2 linked regions of the Bombyx mori genome follow. The protein of the gene in region 2 purifies or fractionates together with the protein of the main gene of each other region. This does not show direct contact. Links are inferred from orthologs where the notes say so. Each region holds a gene or a part of one and is shown on either strand. Other genes may lie near its edges.

Region 1 (9,389 bases), on a different chromosome or scaffold from region 2:
CCACAATTGAAAATCCGCACGAGTCGAAATTATCTTTTGCTTTATTTGTTCCGTTCGTACATCTGATACAAAAGGTATAAAGCCATTAGTCTTGGAGTTCTTGGTTCTTGAAGTGTGATATGATTCCCGATGCATTCGTATCAAACGCTGCAACTGTGAATCCCGCAAACAGGTACGAATTTTTGTAATGAAATACGTAAGTGTGTATGTATATAAGAAGTGTTCATAATTGACTTCCACAGTGGAGGAATAACAATAAGAAATAAAAAGCAAACTCACAAAAATTAAAAGATGCATAGTTATGTGATAGGGCACCTTGTGAATGCGCACGAGTAGGTATGTACCATGACCCGGCCTATATCGGCCATGAAGCAGTAATTCGTTTCGGTTTGAAGCATGCGTCCGCCGTTGTACTGAAGAATTGAGACTTAAAACTCATATTTCATGGTGAGTGGCAGCATTTACGTTGTTGATGTCTATGGACTCCGGTAACCACTTACCACCTGGTGGGCTGTGAGATGGTCCACCCATCTAAGCAATTTTTTTTTTTTTAAGAACTTAAAACTTTCCTTTCATGTCGTTGCCATACCCGTGGATTTCAGATAGTCGTTAAGGATGACAACCCGTGTGATATCATAGCAAAGCGAGATGCGCTCCGAGTTAAATGCGCCACCCTGCATCCGTCTAACTTCGTTTGAGTACTATCTCATAAGAAAATTTAATATTCAATCAATACTCTCTAATTACGAGAACATTTTTTTTTTAATTTAACATTACATTGTAGCTTACATGTAATAATAGATTGACTTTTCCATCGATGTATTTAAACAAACAGGTTCTGGCAACAAAAAAGCGGTTACCACATCTAGGTAAAAAGGCTTCAACCTATAAGTAGTTTAAAACTATTAAATTCATGTCATAGGGCCTATGTCCTGTAGTGCACGACTGTGGGCTGAATATGATGATGACGATAATGATATTATTGTATGAGTATTTAGGAATTAGAGTAGAATATAGAATCCACTTTTCATCACATGTCACAATTCGATCCAATATTCCTTCATTTCTGTATCGATTCAACAAGGCAACACAAGTTTCAACATGCCTTTCTTTCTGCAGATCAGTCAAATCATGCGGCACCCATTTTTCATAGGAATTTTTTTATTTTATTGATTTGACGCAAATGAGTCAATATTGTTGTTAAGGTAACTAACGTTAAACCATGCCGCTAATTCCTGGGTAGTTTGGCTCGGATCGGCTTCCACTATGTATCTCTTTCAATTCATTATTATTCACACGTGTGGACGGTCTTCTACGTGGTTCGTTCTTCAAATCAAAATTTCCATCTTAAAAGCGATTAAACCAAAATCGCACGGTGCGTCCATTAGCAGTCTGTTGAAGAGCTAACGTAACCTACTTGCACGAAATTATACATACTGGCCATTAATAAGCGTTTGTTTTTAAAAACATTTCTGTCATTAATATTCTGGTGTATTGATTTTAATATGAACGTAATGTTTCATAAAATTATAATGGTTGAATGCAAATAAAACAACAATATTATCTTACATACTATTTTAATTCATATCACAGGCATCTCTCCAAACGCAACATTGACATTGCGAGCTGTTTCGGCAGCGTTAGTTCCGCGTCGGATCTTTTATTCAAAAATCATTCGAATTTTCGAAGTATCCATCTTTCTTGTCTAAGCTGAATAAAAAAAACAACTGAAAGTCTTTAACCGAATCTTGCACTTTTTTTAAAAGAAGAACCTCATAGGTACCATACCATTTGTAAAAAGTTTTTGTTGGACGGTTAAATAGAAATTCCAACAGTTTTACTCAAAAATCTCAAACCATGAAGGCTCTTTGTTAATTCGAAGTACCTATTACAACAAAAAGGCAATTTCATATTTTAACCCTTATTACAAAAGCCTAGGTTCCCGTTGCCAGTCCAATCGTGAAATAAAATAAATAACAAAGCATAGATAATACATTTTTTTTTTTAAGAGATTTTATGACCTGGTAACTAAGACCTTTAAGTCATGTCTTATTTTACTTTATATTCTTAATTTTATGAAAAATGATAATATGGAGTGAAATGAAATGAAGATGATTAATTTGAGACATTAATCAACTGGGATGAAATTTAATGAAATGAGATGATATGGGATGAAATATAATCGCAGTAAAATGGTGGTCATTTACTGAGATTTTTTCAGTGGACTTTTTGGAGGAACCCGAGAAGTTACGTCCAGCAGCTTTGTTTCATTTTCCCACATTTGTGCACTTTCACAGATATTAAACAGTTAATAAACCACCGTTATTACACATTTAAACCTGAAGAAACACTAAATAGACAAAATAAAACAAATCACACAACTTCACTGCTCGCGTTCCCGCCAAAAAGTCCCATAGATAATAAATTTTTTTTTAAGAGATTTTATGACCTGGTAACTAAGACCTTTAAGTCATGTCTTATTTTACTTTATATTCTTAATTTTATGAAAAATGATAATATGGAGTGAAATGAAATGAAGATGATTAATTTGAAACATTAATCAACTGGGATGAAATTTAATGAAATGAGATGATATGGGATGAGATATAATCGCAGTAAAATGGTGGTCATTTACTGAGATTTTTTCAGTGGACTTTTTGGAGGAACCCGAGAAGTTACGTCCAGCAGCTTTGTTTCATTTTCCCACATTTGTGCACTTTCACAGATATCAAACAGTTAATAAACCACCATTATTACACATTTAAACCTGAAGAAACACTAAATAGACAAAATAAAACAAATCACACAACTTCACTCCTCGCGTTCCCGCCAAAAAGTCCATAGATAATACATAAACATAGGTACCATAGATTATACACTTAATATATTCGAGATAGGTACACAGGGTACACTTAATTAAGTTTATGACAACAAAATACACAAAAAAACTAATAAACTTCGTAAAGATAGACAAATATAAAATTTGTTTCTTTCTATAAGTACAATAAACAAAGTTTTTTACGAAAATGTCGAGTACATCACAAAAACATAGAAACTTTGTTGCTGAGCCAATGGGTGAGAAACCAGTAACAGAATTGGCGGGCGTGGGTGAAGTTTTAGGAAAACGACTTGAAACCGGGGGCTTCGATAAGGTTACAGTATAATTTTATCTCAAAAGTGCAGCTTTTGTATGTTTCATCAATGCTCAAGTGATCCTAAATGTTTTAAAATAATCTTATCAAATTGAAAATTGATCTTTACATATATATACTGCTCGGAAAACTGTTTAATGCAATATCTTTAAGCAGGTGTTTTAAACTTGAGAATAAATTTCAGTACTATTTCATTAAGAGTTAAATTAAATCCTGCATAGATTAATTGTGATAGAAATCGTATAAAGAATGTTGTTATTAAGCAGTAATCAATTATGGAATAAAATCTTTAAAAAAAATGTTGCTTAGCTTCCTTGCCCTCCAAGATGACCAATTACATGTATACCTAGGTGTTAAAAAAAGATAAATCAAGAACAACTACAAAGCAGTAATGTTTCTGCATTAAACTAGTGTTAGTTACCCTAATGTGAAATGTATTAGTTTCGTGAAAATGCCAAGATTAATTCATTCTTACATAGTCTTCAGATTTTGGATGCAATTTTCATTAAAATTACTAGCAAGATAACAGTTTTAATACCAAAATCTATATATATAAATGAATTGCTGTTCGTTAGTCTCGCTAACTTGAGAACAGCTGGACTGATTTGGCTAATTTTGGTCTTGGAGTATTTGTGGAAGTCCAGAGAAGGTTTAAAAGGTAGATAAATATGAAAATGCTCGGAATTAAATAAAAATAAGAATGTATTTTATTCATCGATTGAGGCACTACGAATTCTGCCGGGTCAGCTAGTATATAATATAATTACATTTGTTCCCTTTTTATTTTTCTCATTTACTATATTATGTATCATAAAATAACACTTACCATTTTCAGGCCTATGTCGTCTTGGGTCAATTTTTGGTACTAAAGAAAGATAAAGAGTTATTTCAAGAATGGATGAAGGACGCCTGCAGTGCAAACTCTAAACAGTCAGCAGATTGTTATCAGTGTTTGAAGGATTGGTGTGATGAGTTTTTGTAATTTTTATCCATATAACATTTATTATATTTTATTATTGCATTGTTTGAAATAATGTACATAATGTAATTTTAAGACTACATAAGTAAAATATATGTTCTACAATAATTATTTGTATTATTTAATATTTAAAAATGTTGAAGAAATAAAGTCCCAATTAAGAGTAATTAAATATAATCTTTGCTGGAAAAACACGAAGTCTTCTGTTATTTATGACAATGACTTGAATTTATTTATAAAACAATAAATAGTAATCCAAATATTTTGCAAAAGAATCAAATATATGTTCTCATAATGTTTTTCAACTATTTTACTTTATTAAGCTATTTCTTAGAATGTCTACTTTTCTAAGAAGTGCGTCATTTTTATGACCTATATTTGCATAACCATATGATATCACTCACCTAATGTTTAGATGCCAATAAGCATCACAGTATTGAGTGGGTGCAGTAATTTTCATTGAGTTAATCTCAATGAAAATCATTAACTTTCATTGGAATAGCAGAAATATATTCGTTCAGTGCAGAATGCATCATTACAGAATATCTTACTGCAATGTTAGAGACAGGAGTAAATTATTAAGGGATCAAAATAAGAAGTGCGTCAATTGTTATTTATTTTATAGCATATCTAAAAAGCTTAGACAATATATTTCAATTGTAAATAATGTAATGTTTTTTAAATCATGTAGATGTTCATAATTGCTACCTTCTTTTTGGTATTGGTTGGAATACATTCAGTATAATGTCATATGTGGTATATGTTTGTAGTAAATGGATAATAACATCACCAGTTTAGTCCATGCATCATTACATCACATTTCATCATAATATTACAATGGAATACCAAGGTCAATGGTGCAACAGTAATTAATCCATGCATCCATTACGATAATCAGAAGCGCGGCAGGGCCCCTAGGCTCTTATTAGTAGTACTGATCCATGGGCGGCCGTGCAAAGTTAAATCATTACCAAATATATTTTAATTTCATCTATCATAGTTTAGGGTAATGTTTACATCATGCATATATGTAGAAGTGGGCCTTGGATGCCATTTAAATTGGAAAAGAAATAATTGAAATTAATAATTAAGTTTTTAATAGTTATTTTTTATTAAGCCATAAACACCACAAAAAATATGAAAAAGAATATTAAAACCCCAAAAACTTTAAACATTAACGCCCTATTTCCAGTTACATTTTGGAAATATTTCAATATTTCTCTGTGGCCAGCTTCAACATTCATTTCTGCCTCATGAATGTTTGCATCAATTCTACCAATAGCTTCATCTTGTTCTTTTACCATATGAGCCAATTGTTGAAATATGCCTCCCAACTCCACAATAGTGCTTTCAATGTTATGCATAGTTTCAGCTCTCTGTTGTACATATGAGTCTGTATCATCTCTGAATGCAAATTGCTGTGCTTGTAAACTTGTAGCTTCACCCAAATCTATGCTTACTTCATCTTGTTGCAATAGAGATGGTACCTCTTTTACAACCGGTGTCACCCTTGAAAATTGTTCACGCCTGCTGTTCTGTTGCTTCAAATTTTCTGAACGAACTTCTAAGACCTGCAAACATTAATTTATAAGTTCATTACATCATAAAATTTTCTGACTTTAATTTCGTTCATAATTAAACAGCTAAACTTAAAATATGGTGAACTTTTACGAAAAAAAAGTGGAACAGTATAATATAGATCAGTAAAATTTCAAAGAACTAAATTGGGCTTTTTTTTTTTATTGCCCTTGTAGGCAGACGAGCATACGGCCCACCTGATGGTGAGTGGTTACCGTCGCCCATGGACTTCAGCAATGCCAGGGGCAGAGCCAAGCCGCTGCCTACCGTTTAATACTCTCCACAAGCCTCGTTTGAAGAAGGACATGTCATAGCGCTCGGGAAACACCGTGGAGGGGAGCTCATTCCATAGCCGGATGGTACGTGGCAAAAAAGATCTCTGGAAACGCACTGTGGATGACCGCAGTGGCTCCAGGTAGTATGGATGAACTCTACTCCGGTGGCGGGCGGTGCGATGGTAAAAACGAGATGCCGGTATCATCTCGAACAATTCCTCAGAGCACTCCCCATGGAACATACGGTACAGAATACAGAGGGAACCGAAATCCCTCCGCAGACCCAGAGGCTCCAAACGATCCGTGAGAATGGGATTGTCGACAATCCGAACGGCTCTCCTCTGTATGGAGTCAAATGGAAGAAGCTGGTATTTGGGAGTCCCGGCCCAGAGATGGGAGCAGTACTCCACGCGAGGCCGGACTTGTGCTTTATAAAGCAAAAGTCTTTGTCCAGGCGTGAAGTAGCGCTTTGCTCTGTTGAGGACTCCCAGCATTTTAGACGCCAACTTGGTTTTGCCTTCCAAATGACTCCGAAACTGGACATCGCTCGAAATGTCGACCCCAAGTATCCCAATACTCTCGGAAGGTTGCAGGGATACTCCTTGGAATTGCGGCGCCATGACAAAGGGGTCCTTCTTCGCAGTGAACGCGCAAACTTGTGTCTTTATCGGGTTGAATTGAACCAAGTTCAATTCACCCCATTCGGAGACTCGCCCCAGAGAGTTCTCCACTTCAGACACAAGTTTTGATCGTCTCTCTTGCACCGCGCTCCGAGAGAGACTCTGATGGCCGATATATCGCGCATCCCCCGTGCTGTCATCCGCATAGCAATGCATGCTATCAATAGACAGCATGTCATTGATATACAGGATGAAAAGCGTGGGGGAGAGCACCGAACCTTGTGGAACGCCAGCGTTAATGGTCATGGTATCAGAACAGTCACCGTCTACAACGACCGTGATGCTCCGCCCATCCAAAAAGCTAGCGATCCACTTGCAGAGACCCTCGGGGATTCCGTAAGATGGTAGCTTCGATAGAAGTGCCCTATGCCAGACCCTGTCGAAGGCCTTCGCGATATCAAGGCTCACAGCAAGAGCCTCGCCCTTGCTCTCCAAGGCTTCAGCCCACCTGTGAGTAAGGTATACAAGAAGATCGCCAGCTGAGCGACCGTGACGGAAACCGTACTGTCGGTCACTGATCAGCTGGCGATCCTCAAGATACTTCAGGAGTTGTGTATTTATTATTCGCTCCATCACCTTGGAAAGCAAGGAAGTTATCGCGATAGGCCTATAGCTCGACGGGTCCGACCGGTCACCCTTCTTGGAGATAGGGTGGACGTGGGCGGTCTTCCATGAAGACGGAACCCTGTTAGCGCAATAAGAGAGGCGATACAAACGCGTTAGCGCAGGTGTCAGCTCAGGGGCGCACGTTTTCAGAACCACTGCAGGGATGCCGTCTGGCCCACTCGACTTATGGACGTCCAGGAGTCGGAGTTCCCGCCTGACTGCACACTGTGTAAAGCAGATCTCCGGCAGGGAACTATCACACCAGGGGATGTTCGGTGGTGTGGCACCCCCGTCGTCCACAGTTGAGTTCGAGGCGAAGAGTTTGACCAGAAGGTCAGCCTTCTCTTTCGCGCTGTGGGCCAGAGTGTCATCGGACTTGCGCAGTGGTGGGAGACTAGACCTGCAAAAGTTTCCTTCTGCAGCTTTGGCGAGCGACCAAAAAGCACGGCTCCCGGAGGGATAGCTCTTTAATCGCTCGCCAACTCTAGCAACGTGCTCCTATATATATGCTTATAAATTTAGCTTCATATTTATGAAAGCATATCAGTTTACTTGGTATTGTTAATTCAGAAGAGCATAAACCATTTTTACAAAGTTTTAAATATCCAGGAACCAATTATATGTAGGAACAAATTACCTGTTTAAATTGATTACTCATTGAAGCAAGGCGTGACTGTAATGCGAGTACAACACTAGATGAATGACTGTGCATACTGCGACGACCTCTTGGCATTTCACCTAGTCTGGCAATTTGTTGATTTAAAGAATTTAAGTCTCCTTTAATAATATAAGTTAGTTCTTGAATTTCTGTGGGACGGTCATCAAATAATGATTTCCTCTTAGCCACTGCAACACAATTATTAAACATTTCAAGTAAATTTTCCTATAAGAACTGTAAAATAATCTGATTACAAAGGGATGTTGTTTAATTAATTTGTCATAAATTGTAAACTAAGATTAACTTAGTGGTAAATGACTGTTATCATATTCTTGATATATTCATTTTTTATATTTTATATATATTGAGGAGTGAAAGGCTGTTTGGTTTAAAAGACGTTTCGCTCAATACACTACATTTATCTCAGTAATTAACGTTTTTATTTGATATTACCATCAACAGTTCGATGTTTTCACTTGAATTTCACATGATTGGTTGAACTTCAATTAATTTTACTTCATTCATTTAGGTAGCTGAAGAAGTTATTTTGTTATTTTTTTTCACAATATTAATTTTGAATTTCATGATTTGATATACAGTAACATACATAAAATATAAATCTTGTAGGGCAATTTTTGTTTGTATTGGTATCATTACCTCTATGACCTAACTTCATTTTAGAGAACAATTTCTTTGTACCTAGTTTATAGCAAATGTAGCGTTTCTTTTACATCTTATTAAAAAAAAATGTTTATTTAACATTTTATAAAAGCAATAAATGAAAAGAATATAACACTTCATATTGGACTTATGCCTGAATCATTTAAAATACTTACACAAGGCTAACTTTTCCAATTTGGTATATGTACTAGTAATATTCTTACTAATTACTTTTGCCATACTCATGAATTGGGAGTAAGTTTCCAACACAGCAGCTTTTCTATCATCTCTTACGGTTGGTTTGTTTAAGAAACGTCCTTGGAGACTGCGTACAGTTGAAATGAATTCACTTGTTCTATCTCTTGAAGCCATAACTGGTTCAAAAACAAATTCTTCTAAAAATTTAAACACGTCCTGGTCAGATGATTTAAGAATCAATGTTGATTTGGAATTTGATGAGTTCTCGTAAGGCCGCGATTCCCCGTAATGAACACCTTTCTTATCTAATTTATTGTATGAATCCGTTTCTGTTTCCAAGAGTCTTTCTGTAACGCCTATATTTCGCCTTCGAGGAAGCATCGCATTGTAGTCTTCAGTCTTCACCTATAAAGTTTTACAGAAAAAACGTTGTCAACTTTGTTTGATAAGTAAATTACATTAAGTCAAACAGTACTGTTACACCACACATATGCTTTACTTGTTAATGATTGGGGATATTTTGTTTGAAAATGAAAACTTACAATTTACATAATTGAGGCAGTATTTCACAATTTTACATTCCAATACTTACTTAGAAAACCA
Region 2 (11,316 bases):
GAGTATGGTATCACCTTAAACTGAAGCTGAAATGTATAAAAAAAATTAAAATCTATATTGAAGTTAATCAAAATCTATACATAATGTGATTAATCTCACATGTTTCAGTAATCGCCTGTAAGCCTACGTTTCCAGCTTATTTGCCCTGTCTTTTACCAACGGACCAAGTCTTTGATTTTGATGAATTAGAATATCATTTTCAAGTCGCTAACAGAACTGAAGACTTGCCTGCTGATAAAAAAGGTATAATCTATATATTAATATGTGAAGCAAAAACTTTGTATCCCTTTTTACGAAAATTGCCTGGACGGAGGAGTATGAAATTTTCCACACTTATACAGAATATAGAGAAGAAGTGCACAATGCTAATATTTTTTTAAAATAATGCATAAAAGATACATTAAATCAATAAAGAAAACATTACACACACTACATAATAATATCATGTATTTGACGCACTGCATACTATTTATTGTCAAACTTTTGTTCTTGACGTCTGTGGTCAAATTGAGAATAGATTAAATATTGTTTGTCTTTATAATTTTTTTTTATAGTGTAACCTTGGCGAAATTTGTGATTATAGAAGTATAAAATACAATCATAATATTGTACAAACATACAATTCCAATTAATTATAGTCGAATTTCGACTACTGCGGGACCTCTAGTAAAACATTAAATTACAATCCAGTGTGTAAAATATGCTCGGCCCAATAGTCACAAGTTTGAAGTATTCTCAAATTGAATTTGTTGTTTATAATTAGTTTGAATTTATAGTGGATTTAGAACTTTATATAATCTATATCCTTTTTCAGATCAATCAGACAATGAAGGCGAAAATGGCGCTGACAATGATAATGCAAATATTTCACAATCTGAAAATCAAGAAAGTGCATTAACATCCAGTCCAGAGAGAAATAAATCTGGTGGATAGATTAATTATTTAGATAGTAATTTAAATTTGTTTTAAAATTCAAGTATATTTGAGTCGACTAATAGCAAAGCCGGCAATGTGACTTTTGGAAAATTATTGGTAAATCAGAAAAACGAATTATTGACTTTGTATTCCATTGGCAGTCACAAAACTCTTCTGAACGACATCTTAGATAAATAACAGGTTAAGTATTAACCTTTATTTAATGCAGGTTTTGAACCGTATTCTTTGAAGGAGACGATTATATTCAAATCAATCTGTATTGACATATCAATAACATTTTTTTGTCCAAATGCACAGATTGCCACCTTTGATAATAGACGACTCATTTATAAGTACATTGATTGTTTTTTCTCTTCGTTCTTCATTAATATATGAGAATAATACCTTCGAACCGAACATACCTAAAGGATTATTATATCCATCCATAGTATTCCATAGATCATTATGGAAACAATAAGGAAACATCAACGTTGATAAATCGTAAAAAAATATTTGTGTATAAATTAAATCAGATTTTTTTTTACTAATATTTTAGTGTATATCTTTCGCATTTTAATTAGTATTTTTGATACAGTCGGGTTTTTTGTTTAGTTAATTGATTTGTTGTAGATAACGGGTTAGATAGGTAATTAAGTAGATGATCTTCGTAAACAAATATTCTAGAACAGACGCAAATATTTTTATTGCGTTAGGAGGTAGACGAGCATACACTCTGCCTAATGGGGGTGCTTACCGATACACATATATGCATCAGTAACGCATAGCTGAACCGTTGCCTGCCACATAAGATTATTTTCAAACAAAAAAAGACATATAGCGCCCGGAAAATACCGCGGAGGGAATTTCAAAGTCGACCCTACCTACTAATACTACGTGATAAAAATGATCTCTGAAAACGGATATCTGATAATTGAACGGATAAGAGTCGAGATTGTGTGGCATTCGGCAAACTACCTTTAGCAATTCCCCAGAGAACTCCCCATGGATCATGTTACAAAACAAAGAGAACCGAAGTCCCTTCGTAGTTCAAACTCCAAGGTTCTAAATTATCCATGAGAACGTGATGAGATTATCGACAATCCAACCACTTCGATAAAGCGGCACGACACGAGAACCCTCTCATCGTGGCCGCCGGTAACTACATTCCCGATCCAGCGGACAGAATGGAAAACAGTCGACGTCGCCCAAAACACGTCATCTCGGATCCTCCTGATCCACTAACGGTGCTTCTAGGTACTTCAAGCACCCGTCACCGTTCTCGTCGAACCCGTCGCTTGCGACGAAGGGCTCGACGAGTAAATTAACCCTCAGACAGAGCCCACTGAGTTTCTCGCCGGATCTTCTCAGTGGGTCGCGATTCCGATCCGGTGGTAGATTCTGCGAAGCACGACTCTTGCTAGGGTTCGTGTTAGCATCGTCAACAGGCTTGAGCCCCGTGAGCTCACCTACTAGTTAAGGTTACGCTGGAATAGCCTCTCTAGGCTACCAGCTTAGGTAGGAAAAAAAAAAAAGACAATCCAAACGGCCGTCTTTTGCAAGGAGTTAAATGAAAGCAACTAGTAGTTGGGAGACCCGCCCAGAGTTGGGAACCCTACCCCACGCTAGGTCAGACATAGACCTTACAACTTATATCTCAAGGTGGGCGGCGCATTTACGTTGTAGATGTCTATGGGCTCCAGTAACCACTTAACACCAGATGGGCTGTGAGCTCGTCCACCCATCAAAGCAACAAAAAAAAATTATCTCATTGAAATAGTAATAGATAAGACGTAATGCTATAAACATGCTTATTACGTGAGAAGCAAGAGTATGCATTACTCTCGCGCAAGTTTTATTTTTACAGTATTCGTGCAAATTCTAAATTGCGGCGACATGACAAATATTCTTTCAATGAATTTTTAAAGGTCACTAAATTGAATTCATCTCATTTAGATATTCGCCTTAAAAGTTCTCGATGGATCGCATGACATTGATATGCAGGATGAAAAGCGTGGGGGAGACTGCAGTGCACTTAATGGAACACCCGTGTTAAAAGTCCTGGCATCGGAACAGCAATTGGCTTTTTTCAGTTCCTTGGAGATTCTGGAGAATGGTACACACAAAGGATGCCCACTGAACAGCCATGACTTTAATCATGACATCAGCTGCCAATCTCCAACGTAATGTAGGAGTCTGGTGCTAAGAACCTGCTCTATCATATTGGAAGATAAAGAAGTTATCAAGAGTAGTCTGTAACTATCCTAAAGGTTCTGACCCACGCTGCTTGGATCTCTACCCATGTCTACCCACATGAGTAGTAAATTTTTTTTATTGCCATGGTGGGCAGTTGAGTTTACGAACCACTTGGTGGTAAGTTGCTGATAGTCTGGCACTCAGGTGCACCATCAAACAGCTGCTACCTAAAGTAGTAATTATCTCTTAGGCTACTACTAAGAGAAAATATTCTACTTCTTAAAATATAACAACACAATTTTGAAATACATATAAGCCTATTATTATAATTAAGCCATAGTAATTACCAGTTAGAAAAAACAACCATCAAAGATATACCAGCTTGCAGTATGAATAATATTATGATGTTAAATGAATTTGATCACTAGTCATCTTACTCATAAAATTTATTCATTTAAAAGTTTATTTTCCATACAAAAAAGTGAAAATTATTGAAGAGATGCAGAATTAATGGTGGGCAGCACTTTAATCCCATCACGGTTTACAACAGTCACTTGGAAATTGGGGAGACTAACAAACAATCTTTTGTGAACTTCTTGAACACACTTCTTAAGGATGTCATATGCCTCTGTTTCTGTAGCATCTGAAATGAATAATGTTTTTATTTTGAGTTGCCACTTGATTAATACATTATTAAATTTATAAAATATTTTTACAGATGTTGAAATATAAACAAATATTATTAACTACTAACCTTTTTTATGGTAACGATCCATAATACTCAAACTTAGATATCCACCATAACCATGAGCTGCAAATGGTACCTTCACGCTTGATGCTAAATAGTCCATAAAATACAGTTCAGGTCCATTTTCTTTATCATAACCACCCATGAGCACATTTACAAAGTAGGGAGTCTGTAATTTTTTAGAATAAATATTGAAACTTCTCAACAGTACAAAAATTTTCAACTAATAGTTAATTCTATAGGTACAATAATTGATTAAGAATCAAGATTTTTTGTGGAGAATGTTCATCGTCATCATCAACGCACAATCGTCCACTGCTCGACACAGATCTCAATTCATACCACTGAGTCTTCAGCTCTCCGAAAAATAATAACTGTCATGAATCAATCATAATAGAAATAAAAACACAACTTACACTGCTCCTAAGATACTCTGCGAGATTACGACGTGTGAAACTGGCTGCAGCTGAGGGCCCCAATTCATACCCATTACGCATTTTATACAACTGAATATTTTTTGCAATATATTCAGCAAATTGATTTGTGTCTCCTGAGTCACCAATGACACCCATTACTAATCTATCAGATATCTTATAGATCTTTTCTTCATCTGTAAAATAGAATAAAAACTTTGATTATATAGTATAGTTTATTTGAAAAATTGGTATTAGAAGTTAGATTCCATTAGTACAAATAAAATGCCAAAAAGCAACCTAACAAGTTTACTTGAACCGTTTTTAGATCTGTTTTTATTTATAAAACTAATTTGATCTGAAAATACAGAGGATTCTGTTACAAATTTGCAAACTCACCGTCTTTCATGATCATAATGCTGTGGCTGTTGCTCTGATCGGCTGCTATCATAACAAAGTCGTTGCACTGTATTCCTAAGAGACATTGTAAGTTTATATTTGACATTTTGCAGTCGTATTACTTAATTAGCTTTCACTGCAAATAGTCTTTTCAAGATAGAGATACTTCAATCAATTGAACTGAATTATTTACTTAATTAACTTAGCTATTCTGCCTGTGCGGCCTTAAATTTCATAAATTGTCAAATCACTTTCAGTGTTGTCAGTGTTGAGAGTGTTGCGTGCATACCTTGGTATTGGTAGTAATTCATGGTTTCGGTTTTTTGGAGAAAAGTTGGAGCTATATTTCGTTTACCTATGTGATAGGAATTAATAAGTAGTTAAAATACAAAAAAGAAAGTGCACTAATGTGGGAAAATGAAACAAAGCTGCTGGACGTCACTTCTCGGGATCCTCCAAAAAGTCTCAGTAGATGACCACCATTTTATTAAGATTATATTTCATCCCATATCATCTCATCTCATTTCATTTGATTTCATACCAGTTGATTAATGTCTCGAATTAATAATCTTCATTTCATTTCATCATTTTTCATATAAATAAGAAAATAAATTAAAATAAAACATGACTTAAAGGTCTCTGGCGTTAATGAACGCACATTTTTATGATGCGTAAGCCGGAACGCACGAGATGTGGGAAAAAGAATATAGTCTGTGACACGGGACCTTTTTACCGCCAAATATTTAAAACGACAAATAATTTATAATGTGTTTAATAACTAATGTAATATAATTACTTAGAATTGTTTATGCCGCTACAACAATAAAATTTATATTGTTTCAACTGTGGTGTTAATTACATAAAACACGACTACGGCGAAATAAAGAAGGGACTCTATATGAGCTCCCTTAGGTCTTAGTTACCAGGTCATAAAATCCCTTAAAAAAATTCTTAATAATCTGTGAAAGAGATATTCTCATGACGTAGGCATTAAGACATTTATGACAAATAACCAAGGCCAAATAGTAAAAAATCACTTTTTACGATTTCACGAAGAAAAATTATCTTACAAATGTATTAAAATAATTTTAAGACTTTTGTCTGATTTCGGGTAATCTAATATTGTAGCACGTCCAAGATTGTACAAACGTAAAATTCATTCAGAAGGCTCATTTACGACGAATTAAACGACGAGCTATTGAATCTTGGGTAATATATTTTTTCTTTTATTTTGAATTCTTCTAATATATTTCTTAAAATTCAGACTTTTCATTATTTTTGTAGTTTTTCTGTATTAAAACTGTTTTAATTTTCAGAGACCGAGCGATAAAAATTATCTAACAAAAATGGTGAAAGTTTATGCACTACTTGTATTGTACAAAGGGATTAATAATGCATCCATTCTGAAAGGTGCTTATGATCTTCGGAGTTTTAGTTATTTTCAAAGAAGTTCAGTGCAAGAATTTATGACTTTTGTTAGTAAAACTATGGTAGAGAGGACACATCCAGCATCAAGGCAATCAGTTAAGGAAGGAGAGTATATGTTGCAAGTGTATGTGCGTGCAGATAATTTAGCTGGAGTATTGATATCCGATCACGAGTATCCTAACAGAGTAGCACACACTTTGATCACTAAAACTCTTGATGAGTTTACAGCTGCAGTTCCATCAAGCACTTGGGCTACGGGTAAAGAATCAACAATTGATTTTCCATCATTGGCTTTACATTTAGAAAAATACCAAAATCCCAAAGAAGCTGATGCATTGACGAAAATTCAAAATGATCTGGATGAAACGAAAATTATTTTACATGATACAATAAAAGCTGTACTTGAGAGAGGTGAGAAGTTAGATGATTTGGTTGCTAAGTCAGACAGCCTGTCGATGCACAGTAAAGCATTTTATAAGACTGCGGCAAAAACTAACAGTTGTTGTAATTTTTGAACAGTATATTATTATGATTAACTGTTAACAAAAATGGCCATAACTATTGTAGTATTGTTGATAGTTGCTGAATGCTATGTACTATTTAAAAAAATTATATGAGGTTTGATATAGCTTTTAGGGATTATAAAATATAATTGTATCTCTGATTAATCTGTAACCTGTCACTAAGAGAGTGGCAACTAGCCACAAATACTAAAACCAATTTTAGCAAAGGCTTGAAGAATTATCCTGACCCATCGAATTAAAAGTTCAAACAAATATTGAATCATCATCTTTTCCTTAAGAAATTTCCTTTTATGTTTGTCTGGAAGTTTGTTTCCTAAAATTTAAAAATTTTAGAGGGATAATTTATTTTATTACCTCTTGAGATTACGTTTGTGTTGTAAATTATGATTGTAACTCTAAATCATACAATTATGGCTAAGAGCCAAGAAAAAAAAAAATTAGTTGAAGACTTTTGGGTTTGTTAGAATTGGAGAGCAACATAATTATTAACATTACAACATTATTATTTATATTATTGAGTAATTTAAGAGCAGTGAGTTTAATGTTTAAACTACAAATGGGTCATCATGTCATACTAATTAAAATTGATTATTCCAAAGTAGTATAGTATATCATGAAAATAACTCTAAGGTACCAAGTGTACATATGTTGTAACTTGTTATTCTGTTGCAGATTACTGTAGTATACTTGAATTCTTAACTAATTAAATTTTTGGTCTTAATTGCAATTGTTAAACAAGTCCAGATGCAGACATTTTGAATTATTTTCATCATCACAATGAATGTCGACTTACAGTATTGGTCTAAGGTCTAATAAATGGGTTAAGGATCGTGTGATTTCATTGCAATAATGTACAAAAAACCATGCACAAAACATTTGCAATAACAGCTTAGAAAAGAAAGATTGTGAAAGTGACTTATTTCATGGTTTTTACTAAAATTTAAATGTGAGCTTTATTTAAGTGATAAATGGTTAAATAGGAATAGAAGTTTAACAATTCAGAGAAAAATGTTATAATTATGAATTATGAAGTCTTCTTATTGCATTCCTCAAAAATGATGTTGTTAAAAAATAAATATATCTATGTATGAAAAAATTATTAATGGTAATGTATAGGCCAGTTATTAAAGAAAAATTTGATCAAATGCTGCAGTTTATCAAATTCGATTATATTATACAAGTTGAAGTAGTTTGCAAAATTGATCTGAACTGTTGGGATGATGTAACAATATTCCGATAATAGCTAGCCATTAGGAGAAAATTGCCATTCAAGAGTTGAATTCGTGACATTAATTTTAACAGGCAAGAATGATCTGTTCTGCTCTTAATTAAGAAATTCGTTATCAGCAGGCTTGTTTATAGGCATATTATTTATTATGTGCAAATATAAAGACATTGCACTGAGAATGTTTAATATTTTGAAAATATTCAATTCTTCAATTGCATCACAACTGCTAAACAAGTTTGATCTAGTGAGTCTGTGACACTATTCATTCAGTCACAACCAAAGTTCATTCATAACCCTTGCAGAGGTGTCGGTCATAATCACACGTTTAGGATTACACATGGTGGATGCATTACATACAGTGCCTGAAACAAATTCTGTATAATGCAATGGGATAAAATCGTGATGATCATGTTTGCTTCCATTGCCATCTTTATAGCAATATATAGATATTGTCAAAGGCATGGGAGCCTGTTTGTAGCTAGCATTTGGTATTAAAATAATAGTAAAGAACAGGAACAAATGTAACTATAGTATCATATTTACCATCTATAAACAATTGAAAATCATTTAGTATTGGCGTCAGTTGCCTGAATGGCAACATGAAGACGTGATATTTTTGTGCTCATACTCATGAATCTTTTATATTGCTTTTTCGTTAACATGTTGAACGCCACATGAAAAATCGACTATTTTCATTCAGGCCATGATGCTCACCGGTGAGCCTTTTACTGGTGATAGCACGTCTTGTGAGTCTGCACTGGTATGTACCATCGTCCTGCCTATATCTTCCACCCATCTAAGCAATAAAAAAAAGCCTTATCGTAGTGAAACGTTCGGCCATGAGGCTCGCCCGGGAGTCACGCGAGGGTTCCAACGTAAACGCTTCCTACACACAAATTGCAGCTATCAAACAAAACGCGTATGAAAGTGAGCCGCGTGGCCCTTTAACCAAACCGAACGCCTTGGTTTTCAAATCCCATAGAAAGTTGGTTCTTATCAAGATTATTTATTGCCTTTTAAAATATCTTAAAAACTAGCCTGTAAAATTCGCTAATTTTCACCATCCGTGCAAATTATCGCATTTTATATATTTTAGAATTCAAATCTAGTTGTTAAAAATTACTGATTCCCTGATTTTGGCTTGGCCTGAATGGTATAGTAAGTACGCTAGGCCCTTAAGTGGGCCGCATGGCATTCAAGGTGTTAATGAAGAAAAAAAAGAGAAAAACAGTTACATTTTATTTTTATCATTATAAATGTAAACAAGCCTTAGGATATGTTAAAAGTTAATGAAACCTATGAAATATGTATGTAATTTGAAAATTATGAAATGTAAAGAAACGCTGATGTGAATAGGGAAATTCCCTTTTTTGGTGTTAAGGCTTAACAGTTAAGCAGAAAAAGATCTATATTTAATGTACTAATCTAAATCGAACATATTGTACCTTCAATAGTATATTATATTTATCTGCAATGTAGGTTAAAACATACTTTATTTTGGGTGATAATTTTATTACATTACCAAATAAATAATTAGAATGTTAAAGAACGATGTGTATGTGTTGAAGAGTCGGATTCCAATTGTATATCCATTATTGTAACTAAATATAGTCGAATGTTTGCTGTTATCTTTATGTTTTTATTCTGTTCATTACCTTTATTCCAAAAAGTTGTGTTTCCGCCCCTACTAATAAAGGTAGTGTAACATTAAAATCATTTATTGTGTTTCTAAGAATATGAATTAAGCAAAGAGAGAATACAAAAAGTTAATACAGATGTGCATTGCCTATACAAATACTTGGATGGCGAAAAAGTGTCAATCTCATAAAGATATGAGATTTTTTGTCAACACCTAAAAGGTGAGACCCGGTGTATTGTTATCAAGCGATGCCACTGTCGTATTCAAGATTAGGCGATGCTACTAACAAAGGGAAGTACTGATTTTTTTTAGGATTTTTTTTTCATAATGGCGGACTCCATATTTTGACTCCAATTGCAAATAAATTATCTTTTTTTATGAATGAGGCCTTTACCTTTTTATCAGGACAGGTGCGCGAGCATAGTCTCGGTCAGGAGGGGTGCACAGCAGCCAAAGCGCCTCCAAAGCAGACCTAACAACTCAAGAGCAGTTGCTTCGCGAAGGTCCCACAGAAAATCCAGCGAGAAACTCAGCGGGCTGTTTCAGTTAGGTTGCACGTCGGACCCTTTGCCGAGTTCGATGAGCACTTACCGGGGTCCCTAAACCTGCTCCTAGTGTTAGAGCTGAAGACGTCTAATGCAAGAGTTCTTGGATCTAATGGATCCGTAAGGACGTGCTTAGGGCGTCGACGGTGACTTGCTTCTGCGTGATCAGGATTCGGGGTGTAGTCAGAGGCGGCGTCAGCATTATCATGACGCATTGTAACAAGATTTCAAACACGGCGTGTCGTGACCGAAATGATAAAAAGATTCAAGGTGTAATTCGATTAAACGATACGACTATGGCAATGTTCGAAGAACGTAAACAGCAGTTTTTTTTAATGCAATGCTGACCTTACACTGGTTTATAAAACACTTCCGTGGTGGGATAACGTGTAAACATGTAAAATAGAAATCGACACGAATTGTATAATTACTGAGACGTGATGGGCCCGCGCTGGTAGATTAACTTAATTTTGATTGTTTTTATTTTACAAATTGTTAATTTGTTTATGTAGCAAGTCCAAGAGTTTTTACTGGTGGTAGGACCTCTTGTGAGTCCGCGCGGGTGGGTACCACCATCCTGCCTATTTCTGCCGTGAAGCAGTAATGCGTTTCGGTTTGAAGGGTGGGGCAGTCGTTGTTTACTGGTGGTAGGACCTCTTGTGAGTCCGCACGGGTGGGTACCACCACCCTGCCTATTTCTGCCGTGAAGCAGTAATGCGTTTCGGTTTGAAGGGTGGGGCAGCCGTTGTAACAACACTTGAGACCTTAGAACTTATATCTCAAGGTGGGTGGCGTATTTACGTTGTGGATGTCTATGGGCTCCAGTAACCACTTAACACCAGGTGGGCTGTGAGCTCGTCCAACCACCTAACCAATAAAAAAACTTCAGAGGTGTCAAGGGACACCCGGATGGAACGAAGTTCCTTTCGATTAATTAGTGAAGGAATTGTAATTTTTTTTTAAAGTTATTGTAATAAATTACGGCATTATGAAGAAGAAAAAAACAATACTATGAACTAAATGACTATTGTTGAAACGCTATCTCGAGAAACTGTACTCATTACGCGGACCAATCGGATACGAGCAATGTCACGCGATAAGCGCCTACACGTTGATTGGTCAGAATGACGGATCTAAAAAGTGTCGTGACAACTTTTCGTAAGAATTTTTTCCGTCTAGCCCCCTTTCACAACGCGGGATAAGGAACTTCGTTCCAAAAAAAAAAATGTGTTCAGATTTCATTTCTATTATACTATAGCCATAACATAGCCTTTCTACTACACA

The links.
Region 1: the proteins of synaptobrevin homolog YKT6 (region 2) and syntaxin 5A purify together in Homo sapiens (affinity purification with mass spectrometry; 3 studies listed by BioGRID and IntAct, with this or other methods). This does not show direct contact. The link is inferred for Bombyx mori from reciprocal best matches to the Homo sapiens genes YKT6 and STX5.

What each region holds. Positions count from the first base shown.
Region 1 is NC_085118.1:10,679,372-10,688,760, forward strand, and holds the end of syntaxin 5A, read right to left. Parts: exon of another isoform or gene 9,379-9,389; intron 9,192-9,378; coding exon 8,765-9,191; intron 8,117-8,764; coding exon 7,908-8,116; intron 5,703-7,907; coding exon 5,244-5,702; 3' UTR 5,219-5,243; downstream 1-5,218. Other genes in the region: barrier-to-autointegration factor B, read left to right, coding at 3,027-3,152, 3,988-4,134. UniProt on the Homo sapiens protein: Mediates endoplasmic reticulum to Golgi transport.
Region 2 is NC_085124.1:7,751,542-7,762,857, forward strand, and holds synaptobrevin homolog YKT6, read left to right. Parts: upstream 1-5,642; 5' UTR 5,643-5,877; intron 5,878-5,984; 5' UTR 5,985-6,014; coding exon 6,015-6,611; 3' UTR 6,612-9,476; downstream 9,477-11,316. Other genes in the region: transcription initiation factor TFIID subunit 8, read left to right, coding at 109-243, 815-933; proteasome subunit beta type-2, read right to left, coding at 3,597-3,751, 3,863-4,025, 4,273-4,466, 4,669-4,774. UniProt on the Homo sapiens protein: Vesicular soluble NSF attachment protein receptor (v-SNARE) mediating vesicle docking and fusion to a specific acceptor cellular compartment. Functions in endoplasmic reticulum to Golgi transport; as part of a SNARE complex composed of GOSR1, GOSR2 and STX5.